2 linked regions of the Caenorhabditis elegans genome follow. The protein of the gene in region 1 interacts with the protein of each later gene in a pairwise test. Each region holds a gene or a part of one and is shown in the gene's direction. Other genes may lie near its edges. The genes, in order: Y38H6C.8 and ZK1320.2.

Region 1 (10,999 bases):
TAATTTTGTGTTTCTGACACCGTCAACGCTGGCGTCGTTGACGGATAAGAAGCCCGGTCCCTGATCCGAGCTTAGTCATTAACCTTTCATTCAATCCAATCCAAAACAAAAATCTAAAAGTCTTATTCAATCACGAGTGCAGCTCATAAATCCGAGTATTTTGCTGAAAGAAGTAAATTACTGTCATTTCGATCAAATTTCCACGATGTGTTTGACAAAATTCCCAGTTTTTGGTGCAAAAATCGCTTCTAATGACTTTTCAGAGACATTTTTCGAATAAAATGTCGATTTTGACCATACTTCCTTAAAGGCACATGTCTTTTGGAACCCAGAGGTCTCGAAGCGCTCTTTTCTCAAAGGCGCATGTCTTTTTGGAACCCAGAGGTCTCGCAGCAACAACTACAGAACGCCATCGATTTGAATTTCGAAACACGAGGTCGCTGCATTTTCGTTTGTTTTAGCGAAATTTCGCAAATTTTCTCTAAATTTCAGGATTTAGATCAATTTCCTATGAATTTCGCGTAAACTAATCAAGTTTTGAGGTAAAAACACCTATAAAAAGAAGTTTTTGCGTAAGAAACGTAAAATTTTCCTAAAGTCACTAAAATTTTGGTAAAAAGACTAAAATTTTGCTAAAAGGCACTAAAATTTTAATTTTTATTGTCTTGTCATGGTTTTCGTGCGTTTTTGTAAAGCGTAATATTCTATTTCCAGAGAATGCATCGTCATCCACCCACATGGCTAGACGAAAACGATCGAGAGCTCTTCGGCACGCAAGGCTTGGACAATCGGCCGGGACCCAGTGCCCAGCCGGTCCAAGTCGCCGTCGAGCAAATTTTAAATGAAACGAATACTCCTGCTGATCCAGCAAATCCAAAGATGCTTATTTCGGAGCGACTTAAAGAGGTCCACGAAGGAGTCCTCAAGGATCTCGCCGAAGCCCTTCTCAACACGAAGAGACGTCTCACCCCGCCTTCACATAGAGCGCCCGGTGCCGGAGAAGAAGTCACTTTGGCCGCAATTGGAACCGATTACGCAAGAGGACCGACGTCCTTTGTAGAAGAGATGGAGTTCATCGACGTGAAGCTGGCTATCCAGAGCAACATCACTCGAGTCTTGGCTCATCGACAAAAGAAATTCCCGCCACAGAAACTTGCTTGGTTCCACATCATCGGAAAGATCACCAAGTTGGATACTCGTAAACCGCTGGCGTCGCTCAAGCTGACCAACGCCGCGCCACCAAGCATCATTATCGATTTCATGAACGAAAAGTTTGGATCACGTCTCTACTGGTTCAAGGTCTTCACTACCGGAGAGAAGTTCCTATCCACGCTGGAGCACTAACTAGGGAATGACCAGAATAAATGGAGCGATATTCAAAAAAAAAATATTGTATCGGAAAGCTGACATTCTCTACTATAAGAATATGACTGAAATTTTTGCCCGTTCGGGCTGGAAATCTGAAATTTTTACGTCTGAAATTATTCGTTTTGACGTGCTTTACTTATCACCATCCCCAATTAGTACTGCCTGCAACAGCGAGATGGCCGAGTGGATAGAGTGGATGACAAGCATGGTGGGACTCTGGGGTTCAATTCCACCCTAACGTAAAGTTTTTCAAAAATTTAAACGTGTTTTTTCGAAACTATATAAAAGCCCAAATTTTAATTTTTCTGATCGATATCAGCATGATCAATGTGTCGACCAACACCATAATGATTCATTCAACATCTTTTCCCCTAAAATTTAAACTTAACCATGGACCACTACAACCATGGATCCCCTCATATAAACAATTTTATTCATAGCGAAACTTGAATGTAATGCAATCATGAATTTATTAATTATTCAAGGAGATGAACAAAGATGTTGTTTTGACACAACAAAATGATTAAAACAAACAAACATCTTGCATCTTGCGCATCGGATGAATCCGAGATGGTTACATCCAGTGTGATAGCAAATCACTGTGTCACCATGATCAATGCAATATTGAGCTGGAGTCAAAAATGGTGTTGATGAAGTATTCGCAGCACCCACGTATCCAGCTTTCTTCCAACAATGCTGTAAAAACGGTCGGAAGTGCTCTGCCGAGATCTGGTGATACAACACAGATACCATGCAAATTGCGTTGTTCCTCTGTGCGATGACGTAATCGGTCTGGGTTCGAAGGGCATATGCTGTGAACTTCTTGATCAAGCTCTGGAAAATACTATCAAAAAGTTATAAAGATTTAAATTCATACCTTCCATGGCGCATTCCAATAGACATCCAACGGTTGGATCATTCCAGTTGTGTGCTCTGGAATGTTGCGAATGACGACATCATGACCATTGGGAACCAAGTTCTTGATCGTTGTATGGTCCTTGAACGCTGGCCAACTGTCCAGCATGATGTACAGTTTTTTCGGTACAGACGGAATGAAGACACAACTTTCGAAAAAATCGCACATCAATTGCTTCGTCATGATGTGTGTCTTGTATCCAGCCCGCACTTCCAAATTTGGGCAGTTTGGAATTGGACGAGACGGAGGAAACTGGCCTTTTGGTTCAGCGATTACCATAAACGCCTTGGGTCCCATTGAGCCATCGAGGAAAATCATCGGGAGAAACGTAAACGAGTGGGTCAGCGACGATTTCGATTGCGCCAACCTCTCGACTGTTTTTTCGCCCATAAAGGCTAAAGACCGGGCTGGATACAGCTCCTTTTGAATTCCGGTTTGGTCACAATTGAAGACCATCGACGGGTGATAGTTGGAGATCTCTGTTCTGGCATTCTTGACAAAATCATCCGCGTTTTTTTTGATAGCGTCTTTATTGATCAGGCACTTCCGTGTGACAAACTTGGTGACTCTCCGACTCACGATTCTGAAATTATATATATATATATATATATATATATATATATATATATATATATATATATATATATATGTATCTATATATCTATATATCTAACATACTCCGCAATTTATTACATACCTGTGGCTTTGCTTCCATCGGGTTATCCAGGATTGTGACGCTTTGAAGTTTTGCAACTTCATTTCGCGGGTGTTGATTTCCAGTGCCATAGCCATCAAATCAGAATCATGCAAATTGACTCCTGAAATATTTATATTAAAACTTGTTATATTAATGTTCGTTACCATTATCAAGTTTCTCCTTGACCTCCTCATAAAGCCGTTGTGTAAGCTGTGCCAAACGAACCCGCACGCTTTCTTGGAACGCTTTTTTATCTTTCTCGTACTTGCGCAGTTTGTTCATATGAGCATCGGTTCGTATCCAGCGATAACTATGGTGCATAGTCGTTATCGGCCTACTTCCAATTTTTCCGCTACGGTAGAAGGTGATCGCTTTATCCAACTTTTCCCTTGATACAGCTTTCTCACCGAACAATACATCATCTTGATCCGGCAACACACAGTCATACGGCTGAAAGGTTTTTTAAATGACAATTAATAGTGTCGAAACCAACATACCTCAAAAACTTCTGGCTCCCAATCGCCATATTCTTCTTGAACCAAATATTCGGATTCTTCCACACTGGTATCTCCATAATAAGATTCCTTTATAATGCTTGCCAAATGATCTGCCACCTTCTGCTCATGTCTCGAAATCGAGGGATTTGATGGGAGGGGATTGGGAAAATGACGATGCAAGGCAAACATCACGTTTCCGATATCAAAAGACATTGAATAAAAGAAAACCAATAGAATGTAAACTATTAAAGGGACAATTTCAGTGAAATTTATCAAAATACGAAAATAATAAAATTAAAAATTAGCGCCAGCTAACTATTTAGCAGAGCAAATACGTTTTGACCCAATATAAAAACAATAATATGAAAAAAAAAAATTAAAATAAAGTTTTACCAAATCGATATTGGCAAAACATCTTGTTTTTGAGGCTCCATATCTCTGCAGGAAAAAATCGCACTAAAAAGTGATTAACTGAAAACTTGTTAAACACAATGTAATCTAAAACTTTTCAGTTGAACACTTTTTTGTAAAAAATTTCGTTGCCAAGATATAGATCTTTAACTATTTAGAATATTCAAAAATAATGAAGCTCAAATCAATTGGTTCCAACTCGGCAACGAAATTTTTTACAAAAAAGTGTTCAACTGAAATGTTTTAGATCACATTGTGTTTAACAAGTTTCTAGTTGATCACTTTTTAGTGCGATTTTTTCCTGCAGAGATATGGAGCCTCAAAAACAAGATGTTTTGCCAATATCGATTTGGTAAAACGTCTTGATAAGGCATCAGAATCAATGATTCGGTCATTGAAAATAATGAAAAATAGGTTATTTGTGACACTCTAAAATATTTCATGCATTTTTAAAAAAATTTCAAAAAAAAATTTTTCGATCAAATTTTCTCATGGGTTTGGTGGAGAAAAAAGTGACAATTTTCGAAAAAAATTAAAATTTCTGAAAAGTTTCCAGGGTAATTATGGTTCAATTAAAAAGCAAAAAAATTATGTAAAACCCTCAAAAAAATGTTCTAAATACTTGTTTCCCGTTCTGAAAATTTTGTATAAAAAAGGCCAAAAGTTAAACCATGTATGGGAACCGAACACACAAACTTCTGCTCAAGAGGCGAACGCGTTCACCACTCGACCACCGAACCGATGTTTTCGCCCTTCCACCATTGTGGTGAGACTTCTGTTGGCGCCAGAGACAAAAATCCACTGTTAACCATAGGAAATGCACTGATTTCAGTGTAGAATTTCAGACGTAAAAATTTCAGATTTCCAGCTCGAACGGGCAAAAATTTCAGTCATATTCTTATAGTAGAGAATGTCAGCTTTCCGATACAATATTTTTTTTTTGAATATCGCTCCATTTATTCTGGTCATTCCCTAGTAAGGTATTAGTACGTAAGCACTAAGTTTTATAAAAGTTTCTCATGGTTAGACGGCAGAAACTCTTAGGGCCTGTTAACACAGCCTACCTAAAGAACCTTATACTTTTGAGGACCAGGGACGGTCCTGAAAGAAAGGGGGGAGGTGTAAGAGTTTCCGCGTCTCCCCATGCTCGGTACAATTCCCCACATTTATTATTGTCTTACAGGTCCAGCAAGTGCTGCCGTAGCGGGTAACATCACGGTTATCCGGCCAGAACCGCTGCCAAAGACAACGACTAGACTTGCCAACGTTCATCAATGCACGCTGCAAGTGCGCTCCACCGGACGGCGCGCGGATCTGAATTGCCGGCGCCAACTCTAATTGTCATCGTTCTCGAATGTTCTCTCCCCCTCCCTTTTCCCCTATAAAAGGAGCGGTTTCGCTCATTCGAGGCCTTTTTCCTTTACTTTTAACCCGTTGTCACGTGTTCGCTGTTTGCCCCCAACAAACTGCTTTTCTGTAAATTACTTTATTAACTAATAAACCTGCTCATGACAAGCCATTCTTACTATATCTCCGCTCTTCTTCTCCTCTTACAAACCTGCACTACAGAGCTTGTCTTTTCTCGTGAGAGATAACTAAAAAATATATGATAATCTCTCGATGTCTTTCTTTATTATCACTAACCTGAAAACTACATTTGGAGGGAGCTCACATCTTTCGCCTCCTGTTTTCTTATTGTCTCTTTCATCGTGAAAACCACAGATATATCTGAAAACTTATCTCATAGTAATAAACTCTCATTTCCCTATACTATTTTTACGAAGCTTCGATGAGGACTACATTTGGAAGAGTGAACTCATCGTCTCGTCGAACCCCACACTATTTCCGATAGTGTTTTGATCTCTGGCACTATTAACTCTTGACATACAGAAAACTATCGTATTACCTGAATCTCTCCAATATTTCCAAAAATCTCACATTATCGTTTCTTGATTGATAATAAAAAGAGATGCTATGACAATCAAGAATAAATTAATTCAAAGAAGGGTGGTGGAATTTGAAATTTCAATGCCTCGAACAACCAGACTATCTTGTTCATGCACCAATTTGTTACAAAACTCATGAAATTATGAAATATGGATGATTAAAATTTTTGTGATAAGTAATCACTACGGGAAGAGGCGCGGTTTCTACAAACACATATAAATAGAAGCTGATAAGATGAGTTTCTCCGCTGAGGAAGGTTCAAAATTATGCTTCGCTTATTTATCATTGTCTGTCTAGTGTGCTCTGTCGCGCCGGACTGTGTTCCGGGAGATGTTGGATTTGGAGATTCGTAAGTGAAAAGAGTTTTGTGGGACAGAAAACTGAATTGGAGAGTTCCAGCTGCTACTCGTTCAACCGTGTTCATGGAAAGTTCAAGGATGCCAACGATTTGTGTGTAAAGATGTTTGGAGGGAGTCTGGTAAAAATCACGAATATTATCGATAACAATTGGATGCAAAGTGAGATTTGTAAATTAGACGGGAACTACATGGTCTAATGGCGGGTGAAGCTAGCTAGGAATGGTATAGACAGACATATTCTAGCTCCAGCAACTTAATCAAGATAGATTAACATCGCATGCAAAATCTATCATGAAGAAAATCGAAACATTTTAACTTCCAAGCGTAGAAAATGTAAAAATAGCTAGATATTTTCTTTGAACGAGCTTTGCTAACTGATTCTTACCGCTTTCTATCACTAATGCCATGTCCACAGTTAGCATCGAAATTTGACAGAAGTCTGACTATAGTTTGCCCGATCCTTGGCTACCAATGAGTACCTCCTTCTTCATAAAAATGTTTAACATTTTTCCAGAACTGGCGGTAAACCACCTCGACGCCGACTACAACTCTTTTTGGATCGGAGCCAGCGACGCTGCCCACTACACCAATTGGACTTGGATTGACGGGAGCCCAATGCGATTCTCCAATTGGGGACCAGGACAGCCACTTGAAGATCGGCACTGCGGAACTATGCTCATTTCGACTGGAAAGTGGTTTTCCCAAGTGTGCGATGAAAGGATCCAGTTTCTGTGCCAGTATCCCAATGGGGCATACTCTCCAACATGCCCTCCGTGCCTAGAGATTTGATGATTTAAGTTTTTTTTATTACAACAAAGTACCTCTCATGTTAATAAATTACCTCACATTGTTTAATGGAAACAACATTCGAAAAAAAAACATTTTAGATTGTTATTTGATTTGGTTTAAAGTTTTCAGATTTTACATTTTCTCTAAAGCGTAGGCACATGTTTAGAAATAAGATTACAACGTTGAACTAGGATAAGGCTTATGCTTGTGGGCTATGCTCAGGCCTCTCACCTTGTTTCACTTAAGGCAGGCATATGATTGAGCTAGGCTAGTGTAACGGCGTAAGCTCAAGTTTCATCTTTAGGCTTAGGCTTAGACCTAAATTTAATCTCAGCTTTCTACCTCAGTTTTCTTAAAAGTTCCAGGAACAAACTTGCCCTTCCGCTTTAGAAGTCTCTTTTCACGTGGTGCCAGGATGTCCCATTACGGTTTGATCTACAAAAAATGCGTGATTTTTTTCTCAAAAAATGTGACGTCAACACGTGCTTAACCATGCGAAATCAGTTGAAAAGCATGCGTCTCAACTCCCGCATTTTTGTGGATCTACGTAGATCAAACCGAAATGAGACACTCTGACACCACGTGTCTTTTCAATATGCCTGTATCATATTATAACAACAATGACAAATTTATTGTGTACTATCAACTATTATTACTGATCGTTGTTGTCATAAATGCTTCGGAACCGCTCCCTATCGAAAATTTCTCCGCAAAGCTCGCTGTGCTCGTGTGACGTCCAAAGTGTGATCACCAATACTTTTGTCTCATCTTCCATGTCGAACGCTTGGCGGTGTGAAACATAATGGTGTTGACTGAAATTGCAATTTCAATAAAATTGGCCTCTAGGTTAATATGTTAATGTGCTTACTCATAACGATGAGGATGATGGACAGCCGGAACATCGAATTCCTTGAGAAAATCTTGAATTTTCCATTCTTGGCCGGTGGAGATTTTGAAGAACGATCCGAGGGGCAAGTTGGATCTTGCACGGAAGCTCTGGAAGAATTTCGAAGTTTAAATGGCGTAACTCTTAATACTTTGTTTTTTGTTCACTTTATTTTTTTATACTTATAGTTAAATGCTCAAAAAATAATCTATAATAACATTGTTGCTTTATATGGGCTACTACAAACTTTGAAAATCAGCATACTCTACCACGGTTAGATTTTTGCGAATTTGACTAGAAAATCCAAAAAATTGAAAAGAAAATTATTTGAAGTTTCTACAAATTTCAAAAACTCACTGTAATCACTTTCCACGCTTCATCCGGTCTTAGAACTTGCATCGAAACTTCAAGCTTCTCCGCATCACAGCATCCAGGTCCAGCTGGAAAGTCCCATCAAACCCTTTGTATAACTGAAAATTACTTTCTGCGATGAGCATATATTGTTTGCAGGCCTTGAACTGCTCGGTGTTCTTAATCTCCGCGTAGTCCTTTCCTGAGATACGGCCCACTGCGATCTTTTCCAGGTGCCCCGGTTCAAAAGCTTTCAGGACTTTTCCGATCCACTTGTAAGCGGCCTGATTGCTCCTGACCCAGAGCTCCTTGGCTCGGATTTTGACGCCAGTCCTTGCAAGTTCGGAGACCAAAATTGGCATAATGTTACGGTGAGTTGATCTGTAGGGAAAATCCAACTCTACACATTTTGCAGTAGTTCTCGGATTCGCGAAGATTCGGCAGAAAGTTGTGACAGCGCCGACTCCGATGGCTGTTCGATTTTTGAGATTGTCGGTCTTCAGAACTTTGAAATTCCATCTATTTATCGACAGGCACAAGTATTGCTTGGTTTCCTCATCGTTTTTCGCTGAATTTTCAACGCTTTTTTATTTGGAAAATGAGGTTAAACTGGTATACCTTCGAAGATTCTCAGCTTGTCGAAGGAATCAGCTATTTTATCGACCAGCTTCATTTCGACGGTGGAGCACTGACGAATGTTGTTTCTGAAAACATAGAAATCAATAAAAATTAAATTTCTAGGATTTGTTTTGCTAGTTATTAACAATCAAGATTTATCTACGAGAATTTTCGTATTTTTTTGAATTTTTTATCTTCCAGGAAGTGTGAAATTTCAGAAAAATTGGAATTTTTGAATACTTTCGAATTCTTGAAACCAAAAAAAACTGAAACTTTGATTTTGAAAGACTTGTTTTTAATTTCCGAATATTTGGGGTTTTCAGATATTTTAAATAAATTTTGTAAAACTTTAATCTTTTGCGAATTTTCAAAAAAATAAAAAAGGTCTTACCTATCCTCAAAACTCAAATTCCCGATCACCATTCTCTTCGCCACTTCTGGGAGCATCGGCCATTGCTCGAATCTTGTGGGTCCTTTTTTTGCACGGACCGCTCGGTACGCCGGGTCCTTTACGGATTTTCTTCGTTGGGTCATCACTTTTGATAATTTAAAACTAAAAAAATAAAATTTAAAGATTATTTAAAAAGAATAAGAGTAAAATAAATAAAAAACGCGAAAAATCAAATCGATCTGGGGACAGAATAGGGAATATGCAAGAACATGCAAGAAATGGAGACCAAGGGAGAATGAGAGGGGTGGAGGGTGTGAGAGAAAGAAAGGAACTCTTTGGGAACACGGGGAGGCAAACTTTACGTACATACACTAATTTCTACAGTAGTCGCATTTTTAGAATGGATTTATCTCGAAAACGGCTCAAATTTTTTGGAAGTGATGCATATGAAAAATGTTCTACAGAAAATTCTCTATTTAATGACACCAATGAATTTTTTGTTGATACCCTCTCACCAGTGGTATGCTCATTGAGCAGTAGAGCGCACTTTCTCGGACGTACCGTTTGCCTCCCCGTGGGAAGAGAAGAGGTCACCAGCCGTATGGTCTATGAATAGCCGAGCCAACTAGACAGACTGCACGCGGGGTCGTTTCGGTTTGATCTACAAAAATGCGCAAATTTGTAGCCCATAAAAATGACGTCAGCAAGTTCTTACCAATGAGAAATCAGTTGAGAACTCTGCGTCTCAACTCCCGCATTTTTTGTAGATCGACGCAGATCAAACCGAAAGGGGACACTCTGATACCACATGAGACGACTGTTCATAATTTCAAATCATACAATTAGTGGTTCTCATAATTTTTCGGGTTTGCAAGTTTTTACTTTGAATTGTAAAAATCAAGTACAGGGAACAGTTAAATTAAAACCAATTTAGTTTTAAAAAATTTAGTTTAAAAATTAAAAATAACATTCCTCCAAATTATCATATACATGAATCGCAGAAAGAGAAGAAAATTTAATGAAATACATTAAAATTGGAACACCGTGTAAACTCCCTTTTCTTGGGAGGTTAGATGAGCAGGTGTGTTACTGTAAGCGGCGAATCGAACTATCTCTATTTGTTGTGTAGACAAAGTTGAACATAATTCAGGGGTACGTGATGATTTGTGTGTAAATTCAGCAACTCTCTGATTTCACATACATGCACATTTCTAGCCCCGACGTCAGTAATCTCCGGGGAGACTTCCCACACATACCCTTGCACCTTTTGGCTCCTGTTGCCCACGGCGCCACCGTCAAGCCCTCCTCTCATTTGTACCTTGTCTGCGTTTATAGCTTCTTTATTCTTCTGTTTGTTACTACTCGCAGCTTCTGCTTCGATAAGCTGAAACTGAGAGAAATGTCCGATTTCTTCAAAATCGAATATAAGAAGGCGAATGAAGGCCCTCCACTGATCTTGAACACATACAAACGGAAATTCACGAATGCTCTCAACGTATATGTGCACAGTCTAAGAAAAACTGCTCGGCAACTGCTCGTTCAGGACAATATACAAGTTCAGTTGGATTGTGCGGACTATCAACTCATTGAGTGCATTATTAATGTAAGTATTGGAAAAAATCAATGTTAGGAATTTTAGAAATTACTGTTTAGTCAGTAATAAGGGTACTGCCAAAATAGCCAGGGACTCTAACTTTTCTCCTGTCTCGTTGAAACGGGAGTCTTGACAGGGTCCATCCACTAAAGTAGTGAGCTTCTGAGAATTTGCC
Region 2 (10,585 bases), on another chromosome or scaffold:
TGTTATCTTTTTGAGTTTAAGTTTTTCCTGTCTATACATTCCTGTACCATATGATAGTGAGACATGTCTATATAAATGTCTGACTAGATCTCGTGAATGAATAACAAAAAGTTGGTTATTGGCCATCTATCATAACAAAATAGCAAAGTTAATCAAATAATTGAAACAGATCAGAGCACAATTTGTGTTAAATATCAACAGCAGGGTTAGGTAAAACTTTCGGGTTAGGAATACATTAATATCTAGTCATTTCAACCACATTTTTATATACATATGAAAGTACGTTTGAAAATTTGCTGACTTATTGTAAGATGTGCTTGTTATTTTATCAAAAATACTTGATTTTTTCTGGTTTCCACTAGATTTGACTTTCTTGCGCAATATGACACAAAGCCTTGCCCACAAAAATGCCTGGCAATGTTACTTCCAGAGTTGCTAAACTAAATTAAGTTAATCGGTGATTTCTTCAAATCTGCAGACCAAACTCCAGAAACTGGCTACAGGATAGACTAGAGTTAGTGGTCTTGATATCATCATTGTAATCCAATTACTCACTGATTCTGCGCAAGGAGTCACAAAATCGTCGAGACGGAGACACAAAAAGTGTGTCAGATAGTTGCCGTTTTTGTGTCCGATTTCTTGTAAATATAAAAACAAATTTTATTTTTGGAAATATTTGTTTAAAATATACAGACTTCGTTTACAAGAAAATACAACTAAATGAGTGTTATTTTACTTGCTATTCCAACTTTGTTCATTGGTTTTATCAGGTATTTTTTATTTATTTCTCAAAGCTAAATATATTTATTTAAGTTACTACCTCTGGATATGGACATATTGGAGACGGCGTGGTATCCCTGGACCTCTAGGTTATCCATTAGTTGGAAGTTTTCCAAAAACTCTCAAATCAGAATATCCTCAATACTTACAAATCAGAGATTGGACAAAACTTTATGGTCCAATATATGGATACACTGAAGGAACCATTAAAACTCTAATTGTTTCTGATATCGACATTGTTCGTCAAATTTTTGTTGAGCAGTATGACAACTTCTATGGTAGAAAACTGAATCCAATTCAAGGTGATCCGGAAAAAGACGAGAGAACTAACTTGTTCTCGGCTCAAGGATTTAGATGGAAAAGGCTCAGAGCTATATCTAGTCCTACTTTTTCGAATAACAGTTTGAGAAAAATCAATGTAACTGTGGAAGACAGTGCGATGGAATTATTGAGACATATTGAAGAACAAACTTCGGAGGGACAACAAATTGATATGTTACAGTGAGTTTTCGATGTATTGGAAAAGTAATTTAAATTTTAAATTACAGATTCTACCAAGAGTTCACAATGGATACTATAGGACGAATTGCAATGGGTCAGACCGACTCGCAAATGTTCAAAAATCCACTTTTGAAGTTTGTCAGAGCGGTTCGTTTTGGTACTATTACCAGTGAAATTCAACATATATTTCCAGATATTCGGAGATAATCGAAAGCATATTCCCCTCATCGGTGGAGTTTTTCCTACTCTTGCTCAAGTTTTTCGATTTTTTATGTTGAAATTTCCATTGTTGGGAGCAGCCAATTTCATTCACGTCAACAAAACTGTTGTGACAGCCGTTCAAAATCGTATAGATCAGAGGGAGAATGATAGAAAAAATGGAATTGAAATCGGAGAGCCACAGGATTTTATCGATTTATTTTTGGAAGCAAGAGCAGATGATGTGGAGCATTTTCAAGAGAATAATGGGGATTTTTCAAAGACTAGTAGCTATGTGAGTTTCAGGAGAAAAATTATTCCTGAATTTAAAAAATTGCAGGGAAACCGTCAACTAACAACTCAAGAAATAGTCGGTCAGTGTCTCGTTTTTTTGATTGCTGGCTTCGATACAACTGCTCTATCCTTATCCTATACTACATTTCTCCTAGCAACACATCCAGAAGTTCAAAAGAAATTACAAGAAGAAATAGAACGAGAATGCATAGAACCATCAATTTCATTTGATCATCTCTCAAAACTAAAATACATGGATTGTATTATCAAAGAGACTTTACGTTTGTACCCTTTGGGAACAATGTAGGAGTTTTAAATTTATACTTCACATAAAAAAACAATTATTCCAGGGCGAACTCTCGGAGATGCATGAGAGCCACTAAATTGGGAAATGTAGAAGTTGAAGTTGGAACAATGGTTCAAGTAGATACTTGGAGTCTTCATACTGATACAAAGATTTGGGGAGATGATGCGAAGGAGTTCAAGCCAGAAAGGTTTTTTTTTCAAAATTAAAAAATATATTCAGATGTATTATTGGCTTAATTTTTGAAAGTTTTAAAAAGCGAATCACTTTGGAGAGTATTCCACCTTTTAAATTATTTAGTAAGAGATCCTACTAGTTATTATTTCAGATGGCTTGACCCCAACTGTGACCAAGTTTTCCAAAAAGGAGGATATATTTCATTCGGATTAGGACCTCGTCAGTGCGTTGGAATGCGATTGGCTTATATGGAGGAAAAGATGCTCTTGGCTCATATTCTTAGAAAATATACATTTGAAGTTGGCACCAAGACAGAAATCCCATTGAAATTAGTTGGAAGAGCCACGACTCAACCGGAAACTGTTTGGATGCATTTGAAGCAAAGGATATGAACTCAATAATTTTCGACCCTCTTTGTTTGTATTTTAGTCATCGAAAAAGCTTTCAAATAAAACTTTCTTGCTTTTTAGAGTCTGAAAATGTTCAGCCTATTTTCTGAGAAACTCGTCTATCCTTTAATTGAAGAACAATTTTGAAAAACATATCAGACTAATTTGGTATTTCTACTAATTTTACTCGCATAAACTTTTGAATCATCTGATTGTGAGCAATATTGGATCAAGAAATCAGTTTTGTTAAGCTGCTGGCTCCCCGGAATCAATGCTCATAAACTTATCTGTAAACAACTTGTCCTTTAACTTTTCCAGTGATATCATTAGTGCTTTCCCATTTTTCTATTTAATATTCTTATCACTATAACTGAATGTCAAAAGAAAACGCTCATAATTTAAAAAACGTCAGTTTTAGACTGATAACTCTCTCCACAATTCATACTAATTTGACCATTTGCTACTTAAATTTTTTGAAGCATATATTTATATTTTCAGGAGAATGAAGTTTCTTCTTATTGCTTGTTTGGCAGTTCCTGCAATCTTAGCTCAACAGACGTCTGCTCCAGGTGGAAATTTGTGTACTTATCCTCCACAAGGAGATGAATCAAACCAAAAGGCTGTTCCTATTCAGGACTTCAGAACGTCTGGATTAGATTTCGTTAGGTCAGTTTATGTTCAAAAATTGGAACAGCTTTAGTAATGATTGGTTTAGGCCGCGGCCAAGTTATGTTGAGCCAACTCTTGATGGTCTTACTAGTTAGACCCAGAAAAATACTTTGGCAACAGTGGGATACTAAACGATTACCAATTTTTGAACCACATAAATAGCCGAATATCTTAATTTAAAAAGTTTCAGACCAAATTGGTGCATCACCCACTGTGCTGACCGCAAATCTGTCAAAGCTGCTGTTCGCTTCCAATTTGCCAATCAGTCAACTGCAGTCCGTAAGTTAACATAGATCAGTACACTAAAGTACATGTAAAAACATTTGGAACATTATGAAAATACCAGTAAACATCCTAGAATTTAATGGGAATTTTCAGCAACCTACAAAGTTCGCCGTACTTTCACCCGTTATTCAGGAATGAAGGTTCATGCTGAGCTGATCAGCGGAAACCCGACCAAGCGTGACGATGATCCTTTTAGTAAGTGATTTCATCTTATGGTATAAATACATGTCAAAATTTCAGACTTCTGTATGGACGATGCTGTGTCGGCCCAGATTGATACTATTGTCAACACCTACAATGACATCGAAACCATGTCAGAAGCCCTCAACTTCTATATCAACAAGCCAGGATGGGCGTATATTATTTACGATGTAAGTTACACAAGTTTTTTTTTGGAAAATATATAGGTGTCTACTATTTCTACTTGAATACATATATTCAGATGGGAGTACCACCAAGCATCATTGAGACTGACAATGTCAAACACGATATGAACTACTGTGAGAAGTCTTCTAACAAGGTAAGTACTCAGAAAATGTTGTAAAATGCAACAAAACCAGACCTGCAAGTATCCGAATTAGAAATTAGACCTCACCAAATTTTACAAATTTTTCAGCAAATGCCGGATGGAACCTACATGACATATCAAGTATTCGCAGGACTTATCAAGGCTAATTGATTTTTTTCTTTTAATTTTTAATAAACGATTTAACTATTTAAAGTTTTACATTGAATATTTGATTCTTATTATTCTCAAAATGAAATCATTAGTGATTTTTCAATATTTAATTTTCCACTCTTTATTTTCCGTTATCAACACATTCAACTGGCAAAAGAGGAGGCCGGTGATGTGGAAAATTTCAGTTTTTAACTGATAACTTCCGATAATTTGACCATTTGCTACTCGCTTTGAAACGTTTTTGAGTATAGTTTCCTTTTCATTTTTATCGAGAGTTTTTAGGAAAATGAAGCTTCTTCTCCTTGCCTGCTTAGCAGTTCCAGCAATTTTTGCTCAACAAACTTCTGCTCCAGGAGGAAATTTGTGCAATTATACTCCAGTTGGAGATGAATCCACACAGGATGCAGTTCCAATTCAAGATTTCCGATCCTCTGGATTGGATTTTGTGAGGTTAGTATATTCCTTTTCAAGATTAAATTAAGAATTCATGTAAAGTCAGAGTGTCTGATCTAGAATTGTTTTATCCTTTTAATCAATAATTTTAAATTTAATTATTCAAATCCAGATGAAAAAATCCATTTCTACTTTTCAGACCAAATTGGTGCATCACTCACTGTGCTGACCGCAAATCCGTCAAGGTTGCTGCACGTTTCCAATTTGCCAATCAGTCAACTGCAGTTCGTAAGTTAGCGTTCAAAAAATATTGAAAGCCACTTCCTAGTTTTGAAAAATATAATTGAAATAAAATATGTGGAACTTTATCTAACTCATTTTCATATATTTCAGCAACCTACAATGTTCGCCGTCACTACACCCGTAAATCTGGAGTCAAGGTTCATGCTGAGCTGATCAGCGGCACTCCAACCAAGCGCGATGATGATGATTTCAGTGAGCTCCTCTTTTTCTAGAGTAAACCTGAAATTCATTTGTTTTCAGATTTCTGCATCGACGACACTGTTTCTGCAACAATCGATACGGTTGTTAAGACTTACAATGACATCGAAACCATGTCAGAGGCTCTCAACTTCTATATCAATAAGCCAGGATGGGCTTATGTCATCTATGATGTAAGTCATATCAGAATCAGAATTGGCTCACTGCTGATAAAATCCAAAAATTCAAATCCGAACTTTAACCCTATCCATTTAAGATGGGAGTTCCACCAAGCGTCATTGGAACCGACAATGTCAAGCAAGATATGAACTACTGCGAGAAGTTTGCCCAAAAGGTACACTTTTATTATCTAAAGTAGATAAAGCTTTTCTACTTTCAGCAAATGCCGGATGGAACCTGGGGTTTGTATCAAGTGTTCGCCGGATTGATCAAGGCCAACTGATTTGTGATTTTTTGGGTTTTTCCCACAACTAACAGTGCAGATGTAATTTGAATAAAACTTTGAACATATAATTAATTTTCTGGAATATTTTACAGTTCGTAAAATTGAAAAGTAACCTAGAGTGCAGCCAACTAAAAGATTTTAGATTCAAATCTTTTTGGAATTTTTCTTTGTAGTTTTTGAATCTATGATTATGTCGATTGTCAGACTGTTTCAGAGAGAGTTAATTAAAAATATTTACCCAATTTATTCATATATTTAGCGCATCTTATCTTACAACAAATATTTAAAGTTTTGATTTCTGGCCAAAAAGTCGGTCTGGAAGCGGTTGTGGCTGTTGAAGAAGGTCGGCAATCAAATGGAAACGGTCTGATCCAAAGAATGAATGCTCCGATCCATCTTCTGTGTGCACATTGATCCATGGAGCACCATATGCCTGAAAAAGTAAAATTGCCAATTTTTTTTAATTCAAAGATGAATAACTTACCATCAAATCAACTCCCTTATTCGTATTCTCCATCAAAATCTTTATATATTTCTCATCCTTGCTCTTTTCCACAATTTGCTCCGGATTCTTAACACCAACTGCCTTCAATACTTCCACAAAGTCTTGATCCTCAAAAATCTTCTCACTTCGAGACCACAATCTGACCCACATTTCCCGAGCTGCTCGGAGCATCAGCTCCTTATCCTGCTCCTGCAAAACCAACAAAACCTTCATTGCTCCAGTAGTACGGTACTTTTTGATCCATTCCATGAACAATGGTGGTGGAGTCAATGGAATATCCCAGAACTTTGCAGTTCGCTTCAAATCAGTCATCATCATAATTGATCGAGCTGGGAGCATTGCTGGAGGACGATTTCCTGATTCTTTCATGACGGCTCCGAGGAAAAATGGAATGTAACGGATTGTTACTCCTTTCCATTGGGTTTCCAGTTTTTGGAAGACCTGCAATTTATCATTGCATAATTTCTATAACTATAATAAATTTACGAATTTTAAAACTAAAAAATATTATTGTACCGTAACACTGTTCAAAAAAAATTCCTGACTTCCTAGGATAAGAGAACCATCGACACATGCGTACAACCACAGTTTTTTATGTAATATCGTATATAAAAAAAACCAACCTCAAAAGCAATATAACTGTACGGAGAAATCACGTCAAAATAAAAGTCGATACGTGGAAGTTTTGGCATTTTCCAAAATTAATTCGAATTTTTGGGCACGGCGAACGGAAATCTGCAAGACAAAAATCCGTAAGTTGAGTGTAGATTTGGAAAAGATGTTTTGAAAAATATTCGCGGGAACGATAAAGTAGATCAAAGTTATATTTTCTGCAATTTTTCTTTGAGAACCCGTTTAAAAAATTAAATAAAAATTGCACAAACAACCGTGTGGTTTTATAAGTTTTCGAGACAACGAACTGTGATCTATGTTCGGTTTGCAGTGATAAGAAAGTGGGAAATGAAGATAGATGCAAAAATAACGTGGGAAAATAATAGTTCTAGAGAAGTAAAGCAACGTGGTGACTTGTTCCACACCGTGAGACTACACTGTAGCTTGTATCGGGAAAAAGATACGCAGAGATGACAGACAATCTGGTTTCTCTGCGTCTAGCTCTCTTGGTTTGAATGATGCATTGGGGAAACTACAAGAATACCTTGGATATTTGGAAAACGCGTATATCAATTTCTTAACCTTTCAAAAATTAAAGCTTTTCTGGATACCTGGAAAGTCCCAATTCGCGTTTTTTACATGGAATTTTCATAAAAGCTTTCTTTTAAAAATGTTTATTTTCTTTTTCCATTGACATATTTTGCATAGCAAGGATCTTTGGAGCTTTTCAAAGCACAAACCTTTGGAATTCATTTGCCGGTGTCTTTTGAGTACCTGCACCTGACACCTGGCACCTGACACCGAGAAAACATTTTTCCTGTGATCATAATTCATTTGGAATTTTTATCAATCAAGATCTGCAATCACAATATGTATTGTGACGTAATAAGGCCATCAAGACATATTGAAAGATTTACAAGGGTTCGGGGAAGAAGGAGGGAGGATAATAAAATGACCACGGGTGTACATTGTTATTCTTTTATTTTTATTTTCTCGCGCGTTTTTGGTTCTACTTTTTGAACTATCTAGTTTAACATTCAACTTCCTCCTTGAATATTTGTTAAATTTCTAAAGTTACGACTAAAAATTGTTTGAAAATTTAAATTTTTTGTCAGGTGTTATAATTTTTGAAAGTTTGAACTTTTTGCAGACTAGCTGCTAACACCTTTATACCAATATTTGATAACAAATCGTATCAATATAAAAACTGATAAGATACTAGTTAGCTCGGTGCATCATTTCAATTTCGAGTAGACTATTAACAATAGTTATTTGATATTGAACCTGCTATATAATAATGTCTGATGTGAGTTTGGACCTATTTAATTGTCAGTTTGGAAATTAGAAACACTGGTTTTACTTTTTGAGTTAAAATGATTTTGAAAACTAATTAAACAATTGAATTTTCAGTCTGAAACAATGTCTGCTGCAAAATCTGCTGCCCATATTCTGAAGAGAGTGTTGATGGTTCCACCAAAGCATTTCACAGTCGAATACACAATCAATCCATGGATGGGAGGAGTTGTTGACAAGCAAAAAGCTCATCAGCAATGGAATTCTTTGAAATCTGCAATCGAAAACGCTGGTGTTCCAGTTTTGACAATGGAGCAAACAGAGGGTCTTCCAGATCAAGTTTTCGTTTGTAATAGTGGATTGGTCTATGATGATCAGGTTTACTTGTCCAGATTCAGGCATAAGGAAAGGTGAGTTTGAAAAAAGAATAAAGGAAATTGTGTGTGAAACATTTTATGTTTTTACAGAAGCGGTGAGCAACCACTCTACTTGGAATGGTTCAAGAAGAACAATATCAAAACTATTGGGGAAGGATATGAAGAGGTATAAATTTGCCAGAGAATTTTTGTTCTCCATTTTGAAACATAAAATTTCAGATCTTCGAAGGCGGAGGAGATGCTGTATTTTCTGACCGTAAAACTCTTTGGGCTGGTTATGGAGAGCGTAGTTCAAAGTCTGTCTACGAGAAAATCAAGGCACTCGGGACTTTTGATATTGTTCTCTGTGATATGATTCTTCCAAACTTTTATCACTTGGACACTTGTTTTGCTCCAGTTGATGAGACCAGCGCCCTCTACTACCCACCTGCATTCTCTGAGGCAACCAATAAGGAGGTGAGTTTTTTTTTGAAATCCCTAGTTAAAAAACTTTTTGTGTGCAGATCCTCCGTCGTCTTCCAAACTCGATTGCTGTCTCCGAAGCTGAAGCAAATGCTTTCGTGTGCAACGCCATCACTATTCGTGATACCGTAATCTCCCCAATCGGTGTCTCTCAAGCAACCAAGGATTATCTGTCGGCTCGTGGAAAACGTGTCGAAGAAGTTGATATGAGTGAATTTATGAAAAGTGGTGGAGCTTGTCAGTGCTTGGTGCTCAGATTGCTCTAATTGTGATAGGATGAATTGATGGCTGGATATTTGAATTTTTATAGTGAATCTTTGATGAAGTTTTGAATAAATAAAGCGTTTACTGGAATATTTCAAATTGGAGTGTTGGCTTTCAAAAAGCCGTCTAAAAAATTGAGAGTTTGGTTGAGCTTAAGCCAAAAAGAGTCAAGTAAAAAAGATGCTATTATAATATAGCATTGTGAAGCTATCGAGAAATCAGTGTTGTACGTAAAATTTTTCAAAAAAAAAAATTCTGATTTTTCTCTCACTTCACTGCTTTACCGTTAAAGTACGGATTCCCGAGTTAAATTTCAAGTTAATTTTAAATTCAGATAAGTTTTGAACCTTTTCAGCTTTCAATTTGTATGATCTTCATTGGAAAATATAACCACAAAAATCACATGAGAAAGATACTAGAACCGGTAGGAGGGTAAGGGTGGCACTGAGAAATTCTAGAATTGTAATGTTACAACTGATCACTTTTCTTCTCATCTCTCTTTTGGGTATTTTGTTGTGGTATTCATTTCTAGAAAAAATATTATATTCTGTATTTCAACAAATGAAGAAGATTACTTTATTATCTGGAATTTTGTTTCTTATTGGATATTCTGATGCAGAGGTTTTTGAAAGGTTATTGTTTAGTTTAGTTTTTTCTTTTATATTTCAAGAAATTTCAGTCAAAATGTTCGAGTTAAACGGAACGATTTCACAAACAACTATGGCTATGGACCATTCGGAATAGGACCTACAAATGGAGGATTTGATAGTTATGGGTTTTATAGAGACAAGTTCTATAATTCAGGACTTCCTCCACTTTATTCATTTGCTTCTTATCGTAATTATTATCACGAAATTTCATTCCACAAGAACAAATACGGACAGCCAGCGCCTACGGATTTCGAAACTTTACAGCAGGAAAGATACGGTGAGTACTTACAATATATTGAAAATATGTTTTTTTTTCTTCATATGTCTGCCCGATTTCTACAAGAAAAGTATTGAACATCACTGCTAATATATAATATATTTGTGGTACAGTAGCTGCAAACTTTCACTCTTCTCAAGACCCAAATCTCCTCATTTGCGCGCGTATTGAAAATTTCAGAAAGCCTTAAATTGTAAAGTCGAAATAAATTATCGAGCTCATTGTTCATCTGGATTATTTTTAAAAACCTCAAGACCTAAATATTCGAATTTTCAGGACCATATTACGATGGAGTCTGGGGATACGCGGATCATTCGAAAAATTGGTTTGGAAAACGTTAAATTTGTTGTTTTTACTTCTGTTTTTTTCTCAAATTAATAAAATTAATTCAATTTTTTTGTTTGAAAAATTTCTAAAATTCCTACGCGACCTTCTCAAAAAACATCAGTTGATAAAATCTTGGCACGTGTAAACCCGAAATTTCGAATCAGTCGATTAGAACTTGAATCAGTTCAGAACCAAGTCAAGTG

Evidence for each region.
Region 2: the proteins of Y38H6C.8 (region 1) and ZK1320.2 interact in a two-hybrid assay, tested with the Caenorhabditis elegans proteins (one large-scale study listed by BioGRID).

The regions. Positions count from the first base shown.
Region 1 is NC_003283.11:20,508,664-20,519,662, forward strand, and holds Y38H6C.8 (C-type lectin domain-containing protein), read left to right. Parts: upstream 1-5,297; 5' UTR 5,298-6,102; coding exon 6,103-6,185; intron 6,186-6,235; coding exon 6,236-6,354; intron 6,355-6,709; coding exon 6,710-6,984; 3' UTR 6,985-7,069; downstream 7,070-10,999. Other genes in the region: Y38H6C.25 (FTH domain-containing protein), read left to right, coding at 10,630-10,833.
Region 2 is NC_003280.10:9,652,976-9,663,560, reverse strand, and holds ZK1320.2 (uncharacterized protein), read left to right. Parts: upstream 1-4,558; 5' UTR 4,559-4,562; coding exon 4,563-4,726; intron 4,727-4,868; coding exon 4,869-4,957; intron 4,958-5,062; coding exon 5,063-5,164; intron 5,165-5,212; coding exon 5,213-5,343; intron 5,344-5,426; coding exon 5,427-5,504; intron 5,505-5,549; coding exon 5,550-5,612; 3' UTR 5,613-5,679; downstream 5,680-10,585. Other genes in the region: cyp-13A10 (Putative cytochrome P450 CYP13A10), read left to right, coding at 721-770, 814-1,281, 1,329-1,428, 1,475-1,774, 1,820-2,076, 2,124-2,267, 2,406-2,646; ZK1320.3 (uncharacterized protein), read left to right, coding at 3,146-3,309, 3,503-3,591, 3,691-3,792, 3,838-3,968, 4,040-4,117, 4,214-4,276; gstk-1 (Glutathione S-transferase kappa 1), read right to left, coding at 5,899-6,048, 6,100-6,561, 6,744-6,812; ZK1307.1 (Amidinotransferase), read left to right, coding at 8,030-8,038, 8,143-8,435, 8,493-8,568, 8,622-8,858, 8,906-9,130; ZK1307.2 (uncharacterized protein), read left to right, coding at 9,690-9,760, 9,808-10,055, 10,332-10,396.